Tamandua tetradactyla: one gene and its partners. The main gene of each other region encodes a partner of the protein of the gene in region 2 in a complex. Links are inferred from orthologs where the notes say so. Each region holds a gene or a part of one and is shown on either strand. Other genes may lie near its edges.

Region 1 (7,860 bases), on a different chromosome or scaffold from region 2:
TGCTGAGTGTTGATTTTTTTTCTTTTTAATTTTAGGACCAATGACTTTCTAGGGACATCTCAGTAATTTTTTTTTAATAATTATTATGCACTTCCTCTTGCTTATGTTTTCACCTTATAGCAGCATTTCCATAATGAAGAATCAGGACACAGATCCAAGCAAGAATAGGATATTCATTCATTAACTGTTTTGAAAAGGTAACTCAAACCAGGCCAGAAACTGCAATAATATTTTTGAAAAGATAGAATGCTCAACAAGGTCTTCTCTCAGTTAACAGCTGGAAAATCAAGCTGTTTAGGATGTAGATAATAATTTTTTAAACCGGAGATGAAAACCTCAGTTATTTTTAATGTAACAAATTATTAACATAATGTAAATTAACTAGAAAAATACAAATATTTTATGAATATGAAAGCTAGTCAGTAACTGAGGGGGAGAAAATGACCTTGCTCTATGCACTGCTACAGTAGTGACAAAAGATTATGTAAACAAACTAACTCCCTCAATGAACTTGTTTCCAAAGACTGTCTATGATGCCCTTGTAATTAAACACTACTGACTTGAAACTACAGTGTATCCTGAGATTTCAAGCCAACATTTGTCCCTAAGGGCCAGGTTATCCTAATTATTAAAACAGCTACTGCAATTATAATAGTTGCTGGTCAAAGAGAATTTAACCAAAGCCTGGTCACATTGTTCTCTTTCAAGTTTTGTTCTTTGAAAGTACCATGTTTTATTATACCACATCTGCCTCATAAACACAGAGTAAGAGAAATATTGGTTCAAATTAATTACATAAACTTAATGTTATTACTCAAACTGAATGAAATTTAAAGCTTTGATATATTGTTTCTTAGGGTAGAACTAGCTTCTTGGAAAGAAAGTATCAATCAGAATTTGGCCCAGCTACATAACCTTCTGAAAGCAGTCTTCAGTTGACTGGTTTTTGCAGCTCCATTCCTCAGTTAGACCGACTAGCATTTGAACACTCCATCAGCCAAGGTTCCAGTGAGCTCACATTTGCCCACAGGAATTCCACATCACCTCATTTTCTTTCCTACTGAAAAAGTACACTGGAAAATACAATATGTTTTAGTACTTCCTATAGTACATAAATAGAAAAGACTTGCTCTGTATTACTTCAGAATCATTAGCAATTTCTGTTCATTAGCCCAAAAACACAACCCAAAATTGAAATGTGCTCACTGTTCCACGAAGCACCTTCCCTTTTCAAAAAGCCTGCTCTTTATCCACTTTACGCTATTTATTGTTTTCAGGAATGAAAAGCAGTAACAATAACTAATAACAAGACCCACATGTTTTATAAACAATAGCGAAACAAGATCACTTTTTTTTAGTTCTGAAATCTAATTGTCATCTGGCTAGAAAGATGAAGAACCCCACCCATAAAGTCCCCTATCTGCACTCTTCCTGACTTAGGTTTATTAGACACAACGTTGGAGCTTCTTTCTTTCCACATCTCCTAGAACTGCCCTTTCCTTCAGGCGTCTGGGATATAGCTTTTGCCTCACAATGAAGTCCATGCCCATTCCTACTGACCTGGCGACTGGGGGATCACCACTATCTAAGCAATTGCAGGGAAAGAAAGGGAAAACCCAACTCAAGAGTCTCAGTCCATACTGGTTTTTTTCTTCTCCAAAATAAAGAACCTTAAGCACTGACTAAAGGTTCTCAATCAATTTATGTACAAACACACACACACACCACCAAAAAAGTCAATCACACCCATTCAGTGCCCTGGACACACAAATCTGCAAGTAGGAAAAAGGAAAAAAAAGGTTTGAAACAGGAAATAAGCAATCAATTAAAAATCAGAATTCTAGTCTTTCACTTCTCAAAATAATCCTTTTCCCCCAGACAGGCAACTGCTCTCCCTAAATACCAAACTTGGACTTTTAAATCAAAAGAATTTTAAATCAAGTTCTTTTTCTATTGCCATTTGCAGTTCTTGTTGAAAGGAAGGACTTGTTCTGGTCCCACAAGTTGGAAAGTTCATGTTCCTATAATTAAGAGTTTGTATGCCACGCCTTCCACCACATTTCCCTGTTAAAATTCCCTTCTCTAAAAATGCTCCCTGAAAACACAACTACAGCCCTCATTCTTTTCTCAAGCAACCACAGGAAACAGATCTGAAGATTCTCAGCAGCTTTCTTAACCCCTCCAGATCACAAAGTTGGCAACTGAAAGGGATTCTCTGTTAAAATGTAAGCACGAATTAAAAAAAAAAAATTGTAAGCGTGAATAAGATCTGAAGAATTGGTGTTTTAGAGGTGTAACCCCCCCCAAGAAACCAGTTTTTCCCACAAACTCATAATACACCCCAAATAAATTTCTCACATCCTGCCTGGAATATATAAAGGGATGGTTTAACGCTGATATTCTTTTATTTATATTGGTATATAAAAGGCCATGGGCGAACTGAAAATACACACACAAAAAAAAGTGTTTTTTTTTTCTCTCAAAGACCATAATATTTGAATCACTGATCCATAAACACTTCTCTGATTGGGGTTTTCAAATACTATTGGGAGACCAGGGTGTGGGGAACACAGAGGAGACCTTACATGTCCAATCCTGTGGTATTTTTCACATATAGGCTAGTTCGAAGCCACCACCACCCCGGCCCCCCAAAGTGCCCGTTACCATTGGGAAACAGGAGAGTTGGAAAAGGAAATTCAGCCTGGGAAGAGGAGGGGCAGCTGCAACACCCAGCTGCAACCACACAACGGTGCCACTTTCCTCCCGTCCCCAAGTGGAGCAAAACACCCTTACCTAGAGGGGTGGTGAGCCGCCGGCACTACTTCCAAAAGTTGTGGTTCACCTTCCCTCGGAGTTCAAAGTCCCAGCACTCCGTCCCCGGCGCAGGCTCGCCCTACACAACTCCTCTGCCGTCGCGCTCCAGCCTTTCCCCACCCTCTCTCCCCTGCACCATGTCAGGAATCCGGGCCAGCACCGCGCTGGGAGCTGACATCACTCCCAGTTCCAGGTACCTCCCCCTCCCACTGTCGCCTTCTCTCCTCCCTCCCTCCAAGAATTAGCCAAAGAGAGTTAGCAAGGGCGGGGTGGTGGCAGCGCCTGGGCTCCGGCTGATTGGACCCAGGGAAAGTCACTCAGGGGAGTCAACTTATTTTATACATTCCTTGCTGAGCGAGACTTCGGCTGGAAGTGGGTGTTGATGGAAAAAAAATGCTGCCTTCCCTGCTATCTCTAAAGAATGGAGATAATGATACAAGGAAGCCCTTGCAGATCGAGTTTTAAACTTTCTTGGCATATTTACTATATGCCAGATCAGAAACGAAACTAAGCCCCCTTGTTAAGGGGAAAAAAAAAATGCCTCTGTCACGGGCAAGTACGATTCCAGCGGCGCGTGGTGCAGAAAATGGCTTGCTTTACTCATGCAAATAAAGGAAAACGCCAGCTCTTCATTCTCCCCTTTTATCTTGGGACTGGTGGGTGTTCCCTTAGAATGAGAACGTGGAACTTCAAAAGCCTTTGGAAAGATTTGAAAGTGAATCCTAGAAACGGCGACTCAGCTCTGAATTGTTCACTGGTGGCGGCGTTATCAACCATGTGGCTGCTTTTCTTTCAGCAATAAAATCACACCACACAAGCTTCCAAGCAAATAAAATTGAACCTCTGGGGTAAGAAAAAAATTACTACCTACCTTTTTAGGGACTCTACTGCTGTTTTAATGCCTAACTGAGAGGGGGCAGGAGGGATGGGAATGGGGACACAATTCATTTCAACAAATCACATGAGAATAATTACACTTCAATAGAACCTATTGGAGTAGCTGAACTATCAATTAAGAATTAGCTGACATTGATCTTTGACGGATATCATGCTGTATAATCCCCTTGGCTTATAAACAAAAAGATTCCCAGGAGAGGGTTCTTTCAATTTACATAATAGCTGCTTCAAGGCAGAACTGAATGGTGAAAAGTGGCTTTATCTGTAAGGTAGCATACTATCTACCTATCATTTTGAAGTACAATGAATTACTTTTTGGTGCTATTTATTTTTTTAATTGATGACAACACACCATATATTTCACCATTCTGCCAAAAAAAAATTGTAGAGGGACAAAAGCGTTGGCAATGTGTATTATTTAACCCTTATAATCATCCTTGTTACCTCCATATTAACAAGGAATCAAAGGCTCAGACAGGTTACCTAACTAAATTGCCCCTGTTCACCCAGAACTGGAATGGAAACAATGTCTGCTTGTCTCCAAAGGCATTTTTTCTTTTTATATCTAAAGTATTGATTATCTATACCTCTCAGACACCACATACTAAAAAAAAATCTACAGACCCAGGCCACTGCTGTCACAGACCTTATTTTACATTATTACCATCATGTTTTCTGTTCAGACTTACACTATCCCAAACTCCTAACCTACATTTCTTACTCCACTTTTCCCCATCACTAATTCTTTATATGCACCGCTACCAGGTGAGTCTTCTAAAACAATGTTTGGTTTTGTCATCAACATCCTCCCCTCCAAATCTGGTCCCCCTTTCCCTGCGACTCTTTTCTAGCCATTTAAAACTCTCCCTAATTTGGTATCTATTTACCTTTCCCATTTTATTTCCCACTTTACTCTGAGAAACCCTCTGCTGCAGACTAATAAGGTCTACTCAGTTCCATGCTTGGTTCTCACCTTTTGGCCTAACTGAATACCCACTCTTCCATGTAGTTAGTCCCACCTTTCCCTCAAAGCCCAGCTCAAGTCCTTGTCCTCCACCATGCCCTGGCTGTGTACTACAGTAGACAGAAATAGGGTTTTGGGTCCATCTCCCAGCTCTGCCTCTTAGATCCTGTGTGGCCTTGGACAAGTCACTAAACCATTCTGAATCTCTATAAAAATGGGGCTGATGATACTACAAAGGTTATGGTAAGCATTATTGAGATTGTACAGATGTGTAATACATGGTAATATATGTCTCATTATACCCATTTCATGTCTTCCCATATCCTGAACAGCAAGCTCTGTGCTTAATAACCTCTTTCTATTCCTTATGCCCATTTCGTGGAAAAGGCCAAATACTAAAGTGGGCTACAGATAATGGATCCTTATATCACTTCTAACTAGCCTGGATTCCTTAAATGCTCCCTGTCCTCACTCAAATACTCTCTTAGTCATAAACTTCAACTATCTTCTCTTTCTTTTTATGCTTCCACTAGAACCCTTCCCTTCCCCCAGCCTCTCACCATTCATTCAATGTAACTTCCTCAGATAATCTTCTGGACCAACCACCCATTTAACCTGTCCCTTAGAGTCACTCATAATTCCTCTTCCCTCACTCTCTGGGACACACTAGTCTATCAGTGCCTCTCGTCTGCCTTGCTCCCCAAATCCCTTCAAATAGCTGCTGGGTTGCTACCAAGCATTCCTCCAGCCCCAGTCTTAGGATGGCTGCATCTCACTCACAGCTCACATTCTCCAGAAACTACAACCAGCAGCAAGAGATGAGGGAGGGACTGTCCCACCCCCAAAAGGATGGCAGGATAGAATAACAGGAAGTCGCCTCCCATTCCCTCTGCAGCTGGAGTGATAACAGCTGCCATCGGAGTTTAAAACACAAAAGACTTGAGGAAAGCTGAAAACAGGGAAGTCTAGAGCAGTAGTGCTCAAATCAGGGGTTACGTGGTAGGGGTGAAAAAGGAACCAATGGGTGAGATTTCAAGCTCCCTTCCCCTTCTCCCTTTAATCAGAGTTAAAGTAGCTTGGCTCCTACCTGTTTTACATCCAGCCTTTCCCTGTCATGTTTCATTTTAAAAAGTGGTTCTAACACTTAAAAAAAAGTATATTAAACCACTGGCCTCTGGGTCTCTTGAGGAAACTCCAAGGGATCAGGACACTGTAGCAGAAGCAAGACAGGATACCTGATGGGCAGCTGAAAAGTTAGCAAAAGTACACTGCAAAAGCAGGAGAAAACCTGCACAGAATAACAAAGGCAGAACTTGAAATGGGCCCTAAAGGTCATCTTGACCTTTTGGAGTGAGAACCCCTGCTATAGTATTCCTGACAGGGTGCCTTCTAATCCCTGCTTGAATTTATCTGACAGCAAGGAGCACACAAGCTAGGAAAGCAGCTCATCATTAAAGATCTTTCTCATGGCCAGCTGGAAACTGCTTTTCTGACTTTTTCCCCAAAGGCTCCAGTTCTGCCCTCTGGAAGAAGAGAGAAAAAGTTGGCTCCTTTTGTAACTTCATCCCCAACTTGTGTAAGCATGAAAACACAGTCCCTACTTAGTTTGTTTAGATGCTCACCCAACTCGTCAAGTTCATGTCATTTTACTGTCTATCTTTACAGGCTTCTGGGTGCATGCTTCTTAAGTACAGCCCAGATCACTCAACTCCTTTCAAAACACTTAACTGCCTCCCTCTTCCCAGAGAACAAAGCCTAAATTCTGGACTTGCATCCAGAATTTCCATCCCCATCCTCAACTTACATTTCTAAACTCAAAGTCCACACTTCCTCATACTCATACTACATAGCCATATTCTCTGATACTGTCTTCTCAGTTAAAGAATGACTTTTGCCTATTGCTTAGTGAGTTCAGAGTTTCTGTTTGAGGTGATGAAAAAGTTGGAATAATGATTACTGGTGATGTCAGCACAATATCATGAATGTAATTAGCACTACTGAATTTAGCACTCAGAAGTGGTTAAAATGGGAAATTTTGAGCTGTACATGTTCCTACAATAAAAAGTTTTAAAAAATGTTTGACTGTTGCCCTTTTCTTCACATCTTTATGCCCTATCTTCAAGGCCTAGTTCAAAGACACTTTTACCACAAGACTTCCCTGAACCCTTAACTGGAAGTAATAGCTCCCTCTCCTAAAACATAAATGACTTATTACAGTTCAAGGCAGATATGGGGAGTGAGAGTGTGGGCTTTAAAGAAGGTCAGGCCTGGTTTTGAAATCAGGCTGCAAGATCTCAAACCACTTTTTGAGTCTATTTCCTCATGCTGAATGTGAAGATGAATACTAAAAACCACCTCACAGGGTTGCTTGAGGATCTGATGAGGTATCAGACACAAGGTCTCAGGTTAAATTGTCTGACACATAATAGGTCATCAGTAAACAGATGTTCCTTTTTTTATGGCATAAAACAACTGTACTCTTATTTTGTGGGGGGCGGGGGGGGAATGCATGGTCCGGGAATTGAACCCGGGTCTCCCGCACGAAAGGTGAGCATTCTACCACTGAACCACTACTCTTATTTTTCACATGGTTTTTGTTCCTCACTCTGTTCTTTACAGTCCTTGATGGTAGAATACCAATTTGTTTCATTTTTACATCTTTATGGAGTCAAGCGTAATGCCTTGGCCTGTGGACACTCAATAAAAATTCACTGAATGAATGAATAGATGAACAAATGCTATCAGTTGCTTAAAACTCTTAAATCTACTATGAACTAGGTCTTCAGAAGTTCAAAAATACTAGACTGGAGTGATCACAATGGATCTGGCCACCTAAGATTGTTCTCATCCCAGTTACCACCAAACACAGACAGGGTTGGGCATATGGAATATAAATCATAAACCCAAATCCAAATGAAACAAGCTTAGTCCTGGAATTCCTTCTAAAAGAAACTGTTGCTTAGTCTGCCTGATTCTGAACATAGTGTCAGTGATAACAGGGACACCATTTTAATTGCCTTTACCTGGAAGATACACCTCTATTCAGCTATCACCACTGATATTATTCCCTTCTTGTCTGTGGAGACACGTTAGAAGTAGGCACAATATCTCACTTCAAGAAGACAGTCTTGTTTAATCATTCCTTTCTTGCAACCCAGATTTGCTGGTTATCTGATTATTCCCCA
Region 2 (7,486 bases):
TGCTGCCGCATGAGACTCACCCCCACTCTCTTTTATGTCCTTTGTGTACATTCTTTAAAAAAACACTTCACTATATGCAGCTCACATCACATGAAAACAAATACCATTATTAAAAAATACTGAAAAGAGTTTCAAATACAATAAAATACTAATAAAACATGATAATTTGGCCAACTCTTTTAGGTATATGATAATAAAATCTTATCTAAACAAACCTGGCAATTTAGAAGATTCTAACCAGAAAAAAAAACTTAGTGATTCTTCAATCCAACAAAAAAGGAATATATAGCATTAACATGAAAAACTAGTTGCTAAAAAGGAAATCCAAATGTTTAGCTTATCAATTTTTCAAGAGAACTGACTAGAGCCAAGAAACGCATTAAGGCTACTAATTATTAATTTATTAATTTACCACTACAGATTCATCATGAAAGTATAGATGTATGCTTATTCAGGTTCACCTTAAAGCACCATGAAGGCACACTCTCTGGCTAAATAAAACGGCACTTAGATATCTCAGAAACACCTAAGTAACCCACACTGCTCCAACTACACTCTGGGTGAGTCACTGTACACTTTTCTAGTTTTAACTTTCTCCCCATACCATCATTAAATCCTCATTCAATTTCACTAGAAAAGGCTTTGAAACTCGGATTCAAACGTAACGTACTTCAAGAGTAAGCTCTTCCACGTGACTTTAAGCTTTAGAATTCTCATCTGCCAACACAAAAATTACTAAGGAATCAATCTCTAGTCTTCCACCTCCAAAACAAGCAGGATTTACAGAACACAGGTGTTTTAGTAAAGGTGGGCTGTAAAAACAATTATTTTTCTGTGAAATTAATCCTATCTTCCTATTAACTTTCACAGGAAATTGAAATATACAAGATACAATCCATGGGAAATACACTTCTGTCAAAAACAAAACAAAACAAAAAAAAGTTCAAGAGACCTGAAAGTACCACAAAGCTTGACTGCTTCACAGTCCTTTTCAAAAACTTTTCAAGCACTTTCTCAAAAACTTCAGAGCACTTTCCCAAATCAGTTTCTTCTGTTGCACCAAGAACAGGATGACAGGCATTTTTACATAACTTTAAAGTAAAACAGAGTTTGTTCTCCTTGAAAAGTTTAATCCTCAGGAATTTACTTTCTACATCTGACTTCCAATCACCAGAAACTAACATTTCATGAGTAGTTAATTATACAAAATACACATCGAATGTATGAGCAGTGCCACCATTAAAAAAAGGAAACCAAGTAATGGGAAAAACCTATAGTGTTGCAAACTGAAAGCACCCTACCTGTGGAAGTGCAGTATTGAGCTGTCTCTGCAAGGAGTCTCTCTCATGGCCGACCTCATGCAATCTCCCCTGGGTTAGAGCCAGCGTCTCCTGCGTCTCCCTCAGTGTGTCTAGAAGGCGATCCCTCTCTTCCAGCATAGAGACCATTAACTGTTCGAAATGGGAATCCGCATCTGGCTGTGAAGGGGAACCCGATCCATGGCTCCCACCTCCTCCTGGGGGGGGGCCTTCGGCTTCACTGATGGTCGGCATCACCTCACACATCATCTTGAAAGAAGAGACCCAGAAGGCTGTTATTATGCATAAAACAATTACTGCCCCAAATCTGCTCCCTTATAGGTATCTGGAGCTAACAGATGAGAAGTGACCATCTCATTATTCTCAGATGTGATTGCTGGGCTTTCCCCATAAGCCGGGAAAACAGGCATGTGCAAATCCTAAATGCTGTGGCATGAGATGAAGACACTGACACAGACAATATCCCAGCGAAGGAGTAGAGACTGAAGAGAACTACTCTTCACATAAAGAATCAACCCTGTGGTATTCTGCTTGCAAAGCTGCTATTTTTGTTGTTGTTGTTGAAAACAAGCCTGCTTCTTAGCTGGTTTTTTGTTTTGTCTGTATTTCCCGGTGGGGGAGAGAAAGCCAAAACACATGCCACCTGATCATTTTTGCAGGAAAAACACAGAAGGAGCATAGACAGCCAGTAAAACTGACAAGTACAAAATCCATCGGGCATTTCCCAGGAATGTGTGCAGTCAGCTACTGGGAAGGACTGACGGCGCTCCCTCAAGTCTTGGGCTGGATTTGGTGAACAGTGAAAGGAAGTGGATTCCTGAAAGGCTGGGAGAGGTGTTTTTCAATGGCTACAATGGTTGGTCAATCAACCTAACTTACGTAAGTTTTCAGCACACGCGCGCGCGCGCACACACACACGCACAAAATTCCACAATGGAAATATAGCAGGTCGATATAGCCCTGGACGCTAGGAAGCGAGGGAAAGTGAAAGGTGAGTTTATGAGGCTATTAAGCGTCTCAAACATAACCACCGGGCGTGGGGGGGGTGGCTGCTCCTGAGGTGTCCGGACTGGATCCCGGGTCACCACCGTGAACCCCCAAAAGAGAGATGTCAGAGACAGCACACCCGACGGCGCTCAACCCCCTGGCGCTCCTTTCCCCTCCCGCGTCAGGTGCCGCAGCCTCCCCAGCCCCTGGGTGGCAGGAGCCACCCACAACGCGGGCCCTCCCGGGTAGGGGCTTCCAGCAGCCACAGGTCTTCGCCCCTCACGCCCACCGTGTCGCCGCCCCCGGAGTCTCTGCGGCCAGAGAAGAGGGCGGCGCGTCGCTCCGGCGCCCGGTCCCTCGGGGCGAGTGGGCGCGTCCCCCGGGGGTCCCGCGGGCGCTCGCCGCGGCGCTCCCACCCTGGCCCGGCGCCGCGGGCCTCGCCCCCAGCCCCGTGCGCACCCGGAGACGCAGACCCTTCCCCCGGGGCTGACATCTGAAGGGCGGCGCAGCCCGGCGGCACGGACGGAAAGGCTGCCCGCGCCGGGGCCCGGGGCGCGCGGGGACCACCCCGGCCCGCTGCGCCCCCAGCCCACCTCAGTCTCCCGGGTCCCTCACCTTGTCACCGGCGGGAGCGGGCGAGGAGGCTCCGCGGCGGCTGCGGGCGGCTGCTCGCTCCCGGCGAGCTCAGGGGCCGACGAAGGCAGCCCGCGGCCGGCGCCCGCCCGCCCGCCCGACTCCCGCGGCCCCGGGCCCGCCGCCCCCAGTCACTAAGGCCGGCCGGCGGCCGGACACTGGCGGAGCGGAGGAGGAGCGGGCCCGGCCTGCGCGTCACCGGCGTCAACGTGCCCGACGTCGGGCACGTCGGCGCGAGCGTCGGCGCCGGGGGCGGGCTCGCGGCACCGGCGACCCAATGAGCAAGCGCCGCCTGCCCAGGTAGGGGGCGGGCGGAGTCTTCCGGGCGTTGATTGGCTGGGCGCGACAGCAGCCCCGCCCCTACAAGCTCCGCCCAGGTGAGGGTCCCTGTGCGTACACGACTCTGGGATCCGAGCTCCGGGCTCAGCGCTTGCGGCTCGGGGCTCCCGCTCGCCTTCCGGGGCCGTGTGTTCGGCCTTGGGGCCGCCGATGTGTCCTCCCCACCCAGCCTCCGGGACACCCGAGGCCTTTGTGCGCGGCCGCTGCGCACCGGCATTTCCCGCTGGTCGCTCCTCCACTCACCTGGGTGGCGCGGGCGGCGGTGGGGTCCCCGTGGAGAAGCGACCCCGGGCTCCAGGAACTGCTCAGAGCCGGGGTCGGAGCCTGCGAGCGCCGCCTCCTCCGAACCTGCCCTTACCGCGCTCACAAGGACGCGGTTTCCACGCGACACTCCTGGATCGGGCTCTACCTGCCCTACCTGGGGAGACCCGGAGGCGCAGCGTGGCGCCGCGGGGAGAATGCGGGCTTTGGGGCGGCCACGCCCGGGTCAGCTCCCGCCCCTGGGCCCGGCCGCCCAGGGCAGCCCCTCTGGGGCTCGGCGTCCGGTCTCCCCGGTGGGGCAGTGATTCACACCCACCTGCCGCGGGACTAGTGGAGAGCCTGGCTGGGGCGGCCCTCGCCTCTGGTGGTCATTTTTACCCTTCTTTCTGCAGGTGTTTTTGAACGCGTGCTCTGTGACGGTCCTGTGCTGGCTCTTGCAGATGGATTTGATCTATAAAAGCAGGCGCTGCCCCTCCGGGTTTGACTCCTGGAGCGCAAACTTTGCGAAACAAATGTCAGGACACCAGTGCCGGTCACCGCTGGCGACTGTCCGGCCGTAGGAAGGCAGCCACGCCCCCCGACTGCGTGGGGTGGGGAGAAGAGAGCCCTTCTCTCGGGATTCCCGACTCTGAGCTCGCTGAGACAGGTGCTGCTTCTGACGTTCTTACCTCCCAGGGTCCAGTATCACACCTTCCCTCCATCTTTCCTTTCATTCGATAAGTGTGTATTGAGTGATTACACATAAATATGAAGTTTACCCCTGGTTCTCAGGTTGTTTTTGCAGACACCATGAAATGTGTGAGCTTCGACAATGGGAATTTACTACCTGATGGTTTGGGACCATGAAAATGTCCAAATTAAGGCACCATGAAGGTGATGCTTTCTTCCCAAAGACTATATGCCTGTGAGCTTTGGCTCCTCTGCCACGTGGCAGGACACAGTGGCATCTGCTGGTCTCTTCAAGGTCTCCTTGCTTTCAGCTTCTTCTAGGCTTTTTGTTTTTCTTTCTTGGTATTCATTCTGTTTATAAAGGACTCTAGTGAAAGGATTAAGTCCTGTCTTGAATGAGGTGGGACACACCTTAACTGAAGTGTAGCCTTATCAAAGGATTCTATTTGCAATGGGTCCACACCCGCAGGAATGGATTAGATTTAAAACATGTTTTTCTGGGAACAGACAGCTTCAAACCACCTGCAGGCATTCTAGCTCTCCTTAGGTGTACCGGCCTAATTCGTCCAACCCATAATTACACCTGGATGAAGATTTTGGGGGGCAGATGGAGAATGTGGTGCTGTCCAACCTACATCACCCTCCCTCCTTCCCCCTTCTTCTCTTCCTCCTTTCTCCTTTCTCATTCCTTTCTTTTTCTTTTTCAGCCTCTCTATTTCTCTTTTTCTTCCCTTCTCCTTTCCCTAAAAATAGCTAAATTAAATTAAAAAGTACCTGACTTGTAAGAAATAGGCACAATCACCAGAATGTGATTCAACAGGACAGACCCTCCGTTCCTGCAGTGAGCATTTGCCGAGCACGCGTGAGTGGCCTAGGTCTGGGGACAGGGCTCTACTTAGACATCTCCACCTCCTCCTCCACAGCCGGGAGGGGAAAAGGCGAATAAACAGACTATAATAGTGCCTGTCCCATAAACTGCATGTGAGCTGGTGTGCTGGGACCCTAGAGGAAGGAAGAACCCACCCACCAGCTGTCATCTCAGAGGCTTCCTGGAGGAGGCAACATCTGAGCTGGAGCTGGAAGGGTGAGTTTTCCAAGCAGAAGAGGGACAAACCCCTCTTGGTATACCTCCAGGAAAATGGAAATACCGGTTTTCATTCACTTTGATCCAGTTCATTTCCCAAATCGCAAAACCAGGAAGAAGAAAAAGGGCCAAGGGAAAGAGACTTGCACTGCAGCTGGAATTAACAGAATGCTTTGTGACATTCACAATTTAGGAAGCTAAGGCAGGCAAAAAAATGTATACTGTGCTTGTGATCTGTGTGTATAGTGTACATACACTAATATGTAAGCTATACCTTAATTTTTTTAAATGGGAAAAAAATTTAAAAAGCAAATTACAGTGTGATCCCAAATTTGAAAAAGAACGTATGTATAGATGAAGCTTATATTATGTAAAATTTATATATTCAAAGTCTAGAATGTTATTAAATAATATGATAAATTTTAAAACAATGAATCTATTTTATTAAATGAAATATTTTAGAAAAGTGAAATTAAAATGTAAGTCTCAGGTTTCTAAAAGAAAAGTATATATGTCTACATAGGGAAGCCTTTTATTGTATTCAAACAAATATTATTTTTTCCTAGAAATAGATACATAAGAATGTTGGCAGTGGTTATCTTTGAGTGGGACTGTGGGTAGTTTTCATTTCTTTCTGTTAGTCTGTATTTTCCAGATACTTTATTGAGAATGTGCTTTATTTTTATCAGTAAGTACAAAAATGAATGTTACTTTAATAAAATCTTGGCAAGAACGAAATATGGAGAGTTGCTTTTGGGAAGCTAAAATGACTTTTAAATGTAGTTATTTCTATACCACCCAGCTAAACTATACACCAGAGTTATTGATCTGAAAAGCATCTCCTAGATTGCATGTCATCCTGATAAGGCTCAGGAAAACCACAAAGATGGAAAATGATGTTTTCACCCCAGTTTTTCTGTTAAAGCCTTGAAAAAAGAAAATATGGGGAGAGGGGTGGTCCCAGAGAGTCTCTTACCAGGACTCAGGTTGTGCCGCAGAAGCAACAGCCTGGAATCCCAACCCCCTCAGGGGTGGATGGAAATTTAGATAATGTGGTTAGTTGTCAATCAGAAGCCCCACCAGGACCCCCAAGCAAGAGATCCCCCATAGAGGTCAGGGTGTGGGCCCTGCCCACCTAGAATTCTAATGAGTGGCCTGTTGACAGTGTGGGAGGGTCTCAGCCATAAGAGCCCGTGGGGGTGTGGCTGCTGATTGATTGGCCCACAGGCCCCCCACGAGCTGGGGACAAAGGTGGGACAGGAGCAACTAGACATCCAGCGCTCTTGAATTCTGGTCCATGTGCCAAGTTGTTGTGATCAAAGAATGTTCTCTTTAAGGGTCAAGCAAAGAGAAAGCATTTTATCCAGGGGGGCCCCAGGGTGGCCTGTGTAATCCAATCCCCAGGACAGGAGCTTTGGGCCCTGGGCTTCCCTGGCTTGGCTAAAGTATCCCTTAGGGTCTGAGTTTGGTTTCCCACATGTACCCCACTAAAGGAGAGATCTTTAAAGAGGAGAAAGGGAAAGAAAGAGAGCTAATGTTTTGTTTTTTCATCTCATTTAATTATTAAAATCATCCCCACACTGCTGTTCCCCTGTTTTCCCAATGTGGCAGAAGAGGAGACGAAGTTCTCAGTGGCCACCAAGCAGGGGAGCTGCCTGAGGATTCTGGTATCCTCCGCAGATAAGCCAATTCATTGAATTATTGGTCTATCAATGAGCCCGCCTTGAGCTCGGTTAATGCGTGTCTGTCCCCAGGAGCATGGACACCTCTGTGAACTCATGGGAAAATCACGTTTGCAGAGTAGTTTATCCTTATGACTTCACCAGATCCTCTAGGGATGAGAACACAGACTAAATTATGCGTCCAACACCTCGTAGCTCATAATTTGGGAGAGGGGGAAGCAGCAATTGAACCCAAGACTCACTGGCTCCAAAGCCCCTGTGTTCTTGCTGCTACACTGAAGTGGCCTTTCCAGGACCCCAAGCTGAGGTCAAAACCCCCAGATCAATGACCGGCCACCGAAGTACTGCCCCCTATGATGGCTGGGGCGTACGGATTGCCCCAGCACAATGCCAGTTTCAATGAATGCGCCAGCTCTGAGGGCTCTCGCCACCTCCTGCACTGGCACAAAGGCGTTTGCCTCATTCATCTGTGCAATTATAGTTTGAAGGAAATCGTAAACCTCCCGCCACTT
Region 3 (7,304 bases), on a different chromosome or scaffold from region 2:
TATCTAATGATCCCTGGGTGTCTGTTCATATTTAATGAGGCAGTTGGAATGCTGATTATAAGTCATGTGAACTTGGGAGGGTCATGCCAACTTGTCCAAAATCATTTGTTAGGAAACCAGCTATTGTGCCAGAATGAAGAATGCTTTACTCTTTAGCACCCATAAAAGTTGTCCACTCTCTCTCAAAGCCCAAATCTGCAAGTGAAATAATTGCCCCCCTCACCATGTGGGACACGCCATACCAACGTAGGGGTGAAAGTCCTTCTGATGGTGTGGAAGATGAATTCCAGGGATGATGAGCCTAGCCCTGGCACCCTGGGATCAACAATGCCATCCTGATCAAAATGGGAAAAAGAAGTGTAGCAAATAAGCTATCAGTGGCTGACACAGTTCAAATAGAGTGGGGAGGCTACTCTGGAGGTCACTCTTACCAAGCTTCAGTCAGACATTGCTACCTATCATAGTTTGCCAACCCCAACCAAAACCATTCCAGCCAATCTTAAAGAACAGCTAGGGCATTATACAAGATTCTACAAAGCTTCCATGCATTAAGGGTAACTTTCTAGAAACCTACAACTTCTGAAGTGCAGAGCGACCAGCCTCTCCAGAACATCAACTAGTTCCAACCCTCTATCCCATATTATTGACAGTCCCTTCCAACATAAAAAAGTTGGAGTGGGCATAGCTGAAATATCCCTAGAGAGTGGGAAAAAGATTAAAGGTGATGGTTGAGTTATAGAGAGAATTTAGGGTTTAAAAAATGAATATGATTGCTGATTCATTGCATAGATATTTCTTTTAGTCTCCAGTATCTTAGAGCAGTGTGCTGGTTTGAAAGGATGTATGCCCCCTAGAAAAGCCATGCTTTAATCAAAATCCCATTTCATAAAGGTAGAATAATCCCTATTCAATACTGTATGTTTGAAACTGTAATCAGATCATCTCCCTGGATGACGTGATTTAGTAAAGAGTGGTTGTTAAATTGGATTAGGTGATGACATGTCTCCACCTATTTGGGTGGGTCTTGATTGGTTTATTGGAGTCCTATAAAAGAGGAAACATTTTGGAGAAAGGAGATTCAAAGAGAGCAGAGACCGACATAGCCATGAGAACAGAGAGCCCACAAGCCAGCGACCTTTGGAGATGAAGAAGGAAAATGCCTCCTATGGACCTTCATGAAACAGGAAGCCAGGAGAGAAAGTAGCAGATGATGCCTTGCTCACCAAGTGCCCTTCCAGCCGAGAGAGAAACTGTGACTGTGTTTACCATGTGCCTTTCCAGATGAGAGAGAAACCCTGAATATCATCAGCCTTCTTGAACCAAGGCATCTTTCCCTGGATGCTTTTGATTGGATATTTCTATAGACTTGTTTTAATTAGACATTTTCTCGGCCTTAGAACTGTAAACTGGGAACTTATTAAATTCCCCCTTTTTAAAAGCCATTCTGATTCTAGTATATTGCATTCTAGCAGCTAGCAAACTAGAACAAGCAGTTAGAAGTAAAACCCTAAAATTGTGGAATTGTAACCCATACCAAACACTGAAATCTGTTCTGCAACTAATTGTTGTGATGTGCTTTGAAATTTATGCTTTTTAATATATATGTTATATTTTACAAATAAGAAAAAAAATGAAGTTCACCCAGAGACCATGCCAAAAAAAAAAAAGCTGTCAAGATCTCCTTAAAGAGTGTTAGAACGCTTGAATTTCTAACCTGGGACAAATGTTTGCCATTGCCTCTGAGTTACGGGGAGGGTGGTAGTGGTAGTGGTGTTCTCCTGGTTGATATGCATACATTTAATCTCCTGTTTTCAACCCTGCTTCTTGCTCCTGCTGTCTACTTGTGGGTACTTCTATACCTCAAACTCTCTAAAGCACCTTACTTTGTTGGTAGGACCCAGTCCTTGGCAGCAGTATCCATTCTACATTATGGTTCCCCCATTTGGCTTAACACTTTCTGTATGTTAAGATTAAAAAAAAAAATTTCCTTCTTCTAATGGCTGTCTTCTTATTTTCTATTTTGTGTGGGTTTGTAACAATTTAATGGGGTCTTAGGAAGAAGAGGCAATAAATGCATCTACTTACTCAGATAGCCAGTTTTAATAAAAAAATCATAAATGTAGATTTAAAAAAGGTATCTGGGGGGTACATGGGTAGTTCAGTGGTTAGAATGCCCGCCTTCCATGCAGGAGACCTGGGTTCAATTCCTGGACCATGCACCCCAAAAACAAGGTATCTGGGGCAGGGAACGGAATAAGAAAAAACCACCAGTGCAGTGGCAAAAAAATTAATAAATAAAAATAATTTTTTTTTTGTGATATGACAGAGTTCCTGTATGTAACTTAGTGCTCAGCTCTTTTTTAACGCAATTTTATTGAGCTATATTCACAAACCATCTAATCATCCAAAGTGTACAATCAATGATTTACAATATCATCATACAGTTGTGCATTTATCACCCCAATTTTTGAACATTTTCATTACTCCAAAAACAAAGAGTAAAAATAAAAAAGAATATCCTAAATGCCACATACTCCTTATTTCCCCCTATAATTTATTTACTTACTCCCCTCATTTTTTTACTCATCTGTTCATATACTGGATAAAAGGAATGTCAGTCACAAGGTTTTCACAATCACATGGTTACACTATAAAAGAATGCTTAGCTCTTAACTCTTCAGAGCCACACATTCTGGGGATATGATGGATCTCAGACATTTAATGCAAATCCCATTTTTACATTTGAGAAAAGTAGAACCCAGAAGTAAAGTAATTGGCCCAAGGTCACACAGGTAGGCAAGGGCTGAAGAGAAACCAGAATGATAACTTGACTCAGAATTTACTTTTTTTTCTACCTCACCACACTGTTGGGATGAGCAGAGGGTCAGATGATAAAGGCCTTGAAAAATAGTCAAAGAAGGATGGATTTTCCTAGGTAAAAAGTTTGATTTCTAAGAGAATGAAATATTTTAGGATGATTATTTAGTGGCTATCTCGTCTCCTTCTCTGGCAGCACACAGTCTGACAACTGGCAGCCATATGTTGGATGCACTGAAGGGGGAAACTGAACAGCAGGGCCAAGAACTGGAAAGATCCAAGTGTATGGTGATCCCGGAAGGGAACAATCAGAGAGCCTGGGCAGGGTGAAACAGTAAATTTGATGAGTGACTGAATGCAAACACTGCGGAGAGATGTGGGACTATGAGGGGTAAAATGATGACTTTTAACTCCTCTCATCTCAAGGGCATTTAAAATTATTTTAATAAACACCGGAGGGCTGGGAATAAATATAATTCCCACCATCTTTACTTTTCTGGTTCTGATATAGTTTACCTACATCTTGAAATTAATGGCTGCAGCTAATCTCTCTGCATTGCTCCTACAAAAGAAAAACGATTACAATTCTGTACAACCAAATTAGTTGCCTGAAATACGGTATCGGGTGTGTCTGGTCGACCCTCGGAGTTGCTGGGAGAACGAAATAAAACCGTTAAGATAGCACAGTATTTGGCACATTGCAGAGACAGAATGTGAACCTTAATTTCCGCATAAGCTCTCTTCGTCTATGTGGCTTAACTAGGAGGAAAAATGACTTGCACTGGCGTGGGTCTTCTGCGATGCCCAAGTTCGTTCCTTAGGGCCATGAACACAGCTTCAAATTTCTCAGATCGTATTACTACCTCCTGCGACAACATTTCGCAAAAGCCAAGGAAATTAAGTAGGGCGGTGGGCGGAAAAATCCAACTTCCCTTGGATAAACAGTACCCACTGCAGGAGTTCGGGCGCAGCCGTCAATCAACTGACAATCCTAGAGCTGCTCCCCAAGACTGTGACTGACCCGAGGTTTGTGTAACGGGCTCCGCAGAGGAGGGGGTGGGGCGACTAAGGTTTGGGAAAGAGACTCTAATTCTCTGGCTTCCAAGCGATCCACTTCCTACGGCAAGCAGAAGGAGACAAACGCCGCCTCCCCTCACTCCCACCTACCGCCTCTTCCTGGTGCTCGGCCTCGGAAGCCGTGTGTAGGGTGTGTGTGTACGTGTGTATGCTCCGCGCCCGTTATTCTGCCTCGGCGCCCAGTCCCGCCATAGCCCTGAGTCACCTCGGCTTCCTCTTCCCTGACCCACCTTCCCCTAGAAGGCGCTGAAGGCCTGCAGGACGCGGGACCCGCTCTCCGAAGGCAGAGAGGGTAGACCCAGGGGGAGGAGGCGCTCCTGGAGCCCAGCTGCCCGGGGGGTTGGGGGCGGGGCTAGGTGTCTCGCGAAGGGGGCGGGGCGCGTGACGTCGGCGGGCGCCTGGGCCGTGCCGTGGCTGTGGTGGTGGCGGCGGCGGCGACGGCGGTGGCAGTGGTGGCGGCGGCGGTGTCGGAGCCTGGGTGGCAGCGGAGCAGCTCATAGGAGGGTGAGACGGCCGCGGTAGTGGCAGCTCGGAAGTCAGGAGGGACCTAGAGCTTCCCGTCTGTCGCTTGTTCTGAGGCTTTTGCCTTTTCCTACCCGGCTTCTTCCTCCCGGCCCTGGCTAGGGCAGGGCTGAGCGCCCTCGGGGAGGGGCGGAGCTGTAGGTGAGGCTTCTGGACCCCTTCCCCCTCCTTTTCCCACCGGGGGGATGGGGAAGGCTGGGGACTGACAGACCCCACCCTAACCCACCTTAGCCCACCGGCGGGCTCCGCCCGGCTGAGCTCCGGGATTGGGCGGGAGCTGAGGCGATAATATGGAGAACCCGGGCCAAAGGTGGGAAATGGGGGCTTTAGGCACTTGGAGAACCGAGGGTGGAGGGTTAATGAGGCGTGTTGTTGAGGGCGAGGTTGTGGGGAGACGGAGAAATTGGTGAGCCACGAGATTGGGGTGCGGTCAGAGTAGATCTGGGTCTAGGTGACCGATATAAAATACTGGAGAAGGTGAGGATTCTTTTTGAGTGTGTATGTATGTTTAAATGGTGAGATAGGAGATGAAGGTTGTATTTCAACAGAAAGATTAACTGTGCATGTTGCCTCTGAGGCAGTTGGAGAAGCTATGGCACATGATCTCACATTTCTCCTTTAGGGTTTTGGTTATTTTTCTTTTTTTTCTCCTTGTGGAATGGGGGTTGAAGAGGTAGGGTCCGGGAGGGAAGAGAATCCCTTTGCTTTGGCTTGGGGTGGGTAACTAGTGGGTGTGGGTAGAGCTGAAGTTTTATACCCAAAAAAGAGTGAGATCTTGGGTTAAACAACTTCACTCTGGCAGCAACCATTAGGGAATAGGTCGCATTACGCTTAGATCCTTAAAGGGATTGTCATCCATTCTTTTTTCTGTACCTAAAGATCTCTTTATACTACGTTATTTGTAAGCTTTTACCTGGTCCCTTAAGAGAAGGCCTTAGGATCAGGTAGTTGCATTGGAAGACACATTTTTGAGTAATAGTTGCAGGTGGTTTTGGTTGAGTGTACTGAGTGAATAAAATGAACAAATGAACGGTTCATTTTCAAAATGAATAATTTGAAAAATTCTTAAATTTTTAAAGCTCAGCTGTCTTTTACAGCTCCTTTTTTTAGTAGACTTTGACATTTTGTGTTCAACACCAATTAATGGAGACTTTTTATTTCTCAATTGCATGTGTGTATATCGTCTTCATTATGCACTTTAAAAATGAAATGGAATTTTTTTTTTAGGTAGGCCCCTGAGTTTCTTAGAAATGTCCTTGGAGCCATGTGCTTTTAAAATGCTCTTTAATAACATTCTGGGATATTGTCACCTTCATGAATAGATATTACTAAGAGTAAACAGTGTTGTTCACATCCATGTTTCACAATTTACTCGACATAGTAAAACAGAATCTTCTTTTCTGGATTCTTGCTCCTTATTCGGTTCAAGTACTTGCTGACCTTATTTGCTAGTTTTGTATCACCTGAACTATTTCTTGCTCACAAAAAAGATCCTGTGATAGACATGTATTGTGTGGAAGCAGGCATAACTCTCATTAATTCATTTATGGAGGAAGAGAAACTGTCATGAAAGAATTTAGCAATGACTTTATCAAGCCTTAACCAGTTTATTTGGGAAAGTAGCCAGAGAAGTGCTGTCCTGTAACCCAAGAGAGAAATATACAGAGTTTCAATAGTTGCAGATCTTTGCTTTTTCTAAGTGCCTGCTAATGAGCAGAACACGGATATCTTCTAGCAAATACTTCTGCTTGTGAAGACTTATGGGAAACACATAAGAGCATATACGATATAATAGCTATTTAGTGAGAAAGGGTGTGGTCCAATGTATACTTATAAATAAGAGATTTAAATAGCTATATTCAGAGAGATCAAATTAATACACTGAATAGTTTTGATTTTGGATTACTTAGAAAAATTAAAATTCACATACAGTTTTGGCCTTTGAATTATACTTTAATTTAATTGGGTATGTGTGAGGGCAAATGGGAACTAAGATACCAGGTAAAACTTTTGGGTGTGTACTGCTAAAATAACATTTGAATGTCTGACAGTGGGATGTGAGTCTTCCCTTGTGGGAATGAGATCATGAGATTTGGGGGAAAGTCTAAGGTGAAATTGACCTATTTCTGTTTCACATTCCTTGTGCCTGAAAAAAAGACTACATTTTATTTTTTAAGAAAGTGTCACTTGCTAGTCATTACTGTCATCCTTGGGTCTCCGAGTCTGCTGAGATGTTCTGTATTCTTCATTACTAAAGTCATATAAATATGTCAGTCTGTTAATTCAGCATTAATACTGGCCACCTCAAAAGTTAAGATTCTCATAGCAATAGCCGCTCATTTTCTATATCACATTTATGCTTTTAGAAGTAGTGTAAGAGCACTTTATTGTGTGTTTTACACATTGTATTGGAAACCTTGATTATCAGAACAAGATCAGGGAATGAGGCATTTTGGTTAATCAAATTATCAATACATTGATTATCAACTTTGAGGGAAATTAATGAAATAAAATACATACTTGACACAAAAATGGGGAGCACATCTGAGGAGAGATATAAGTTAAGGGAGATGTCTAGGATGAAGTGAAAAATTTGGTTGTCAACTTATAGATGGTATTTAAAGTTATGAGATGGATCGATAGCCAGGGAGTAAATTTAGCTGGAGAAAAGATCCCAATATCTGAGCCTTGGGCACTTATCCATTCAATTATTCATTCAATAGCTATATTGAGCATGATTCTAGCTACTTTTTTAGGTATTGGGGATTCAGCATTGAACAGAACTGACAAAAGTTCATACCATCTTGAAACTAACTTTGTTGATACATTCCACCGAAGGAGATTTAAGAGTCCTTTCAGTTAAGAGGAAAAGTAGGGGAGTGTGATGT

Evidence for each region.
Region 1: PPFIA1 (region 2) and PPFIBP1 share a complex: the UniProt entries of both Homo sapiens proteins name them as parts of the cortical microtubule stabilization complex. The link is inferred for Tamandua tetradactyla from reciprocal best matches to the Homo sapiens genes PPFIA1 and PPFIBP1.
Region 3: PPFIA1 (region 2) and ERC1 share a complex: the UniProt entries of both Homo sapiens proteins name them as parts of the cortical microtubule stabilization complex. The link is inferred for Tamandua tetradactyla from reciprocal best matches to the Homo sapiens genes PPFIA1 and ERC1.

Annotation. Positions count from the first base shown.
Region 1 is NC_135333.1:90,538,125-90,545,984, reverse strand, and holds the start of PPFIBP1 (liprin-beta-1), read right to left. Parts: upstream 3,013-7,860; 5' UTR 2,794-3,012; intron 1-2,793. UniProt on the Homo sapiens protein: May regulate the disassembly of focal adhesions. Did not bind receptor-like tyrosine phosphatases type 2A.
Region 2 is NC_135335.1:4,371,050-4,378,535, forward strand, and holds the start of PPFIA1 (liprin-alpha-1), read right to left. Parts: upstream 3,012-7,486; 5' UTR 2,922-3,011; intron 1,569-2,921; coding exon 1,302-1,568; intron 1-1,301. UniProt on the Homo sapiens protein: May regulate the disassembly of focal adhesions. May localize receptor-like tyrosine phosphatases type 2A at specific sites on the plasma membrane, possibly regulating their interaction with the extracellular environment and their association with substrates.
Region 3 is NC_135333.1:63,459,315-63,466,618, reverse strand, and holds the start of ERC1 (ELKS/Rab6-interacting/CAST family member 1), read left to right. Parts: upstream 1-4,292; 5' UTR 4,293-4,398; intron 4,399-4,436; exon of another isoform or gene 4,437-4,557; intron 4,558-7,304. UniProt on the Homo sapiens protein: Regulatory subunit of the IKK complex. Probably recruits IkappaBalpha/NFKBIA to the complex. May be involved in the organization of the cytomatrix at the nerve terminals active zone (CAZ) which regulates neurotransmitter release.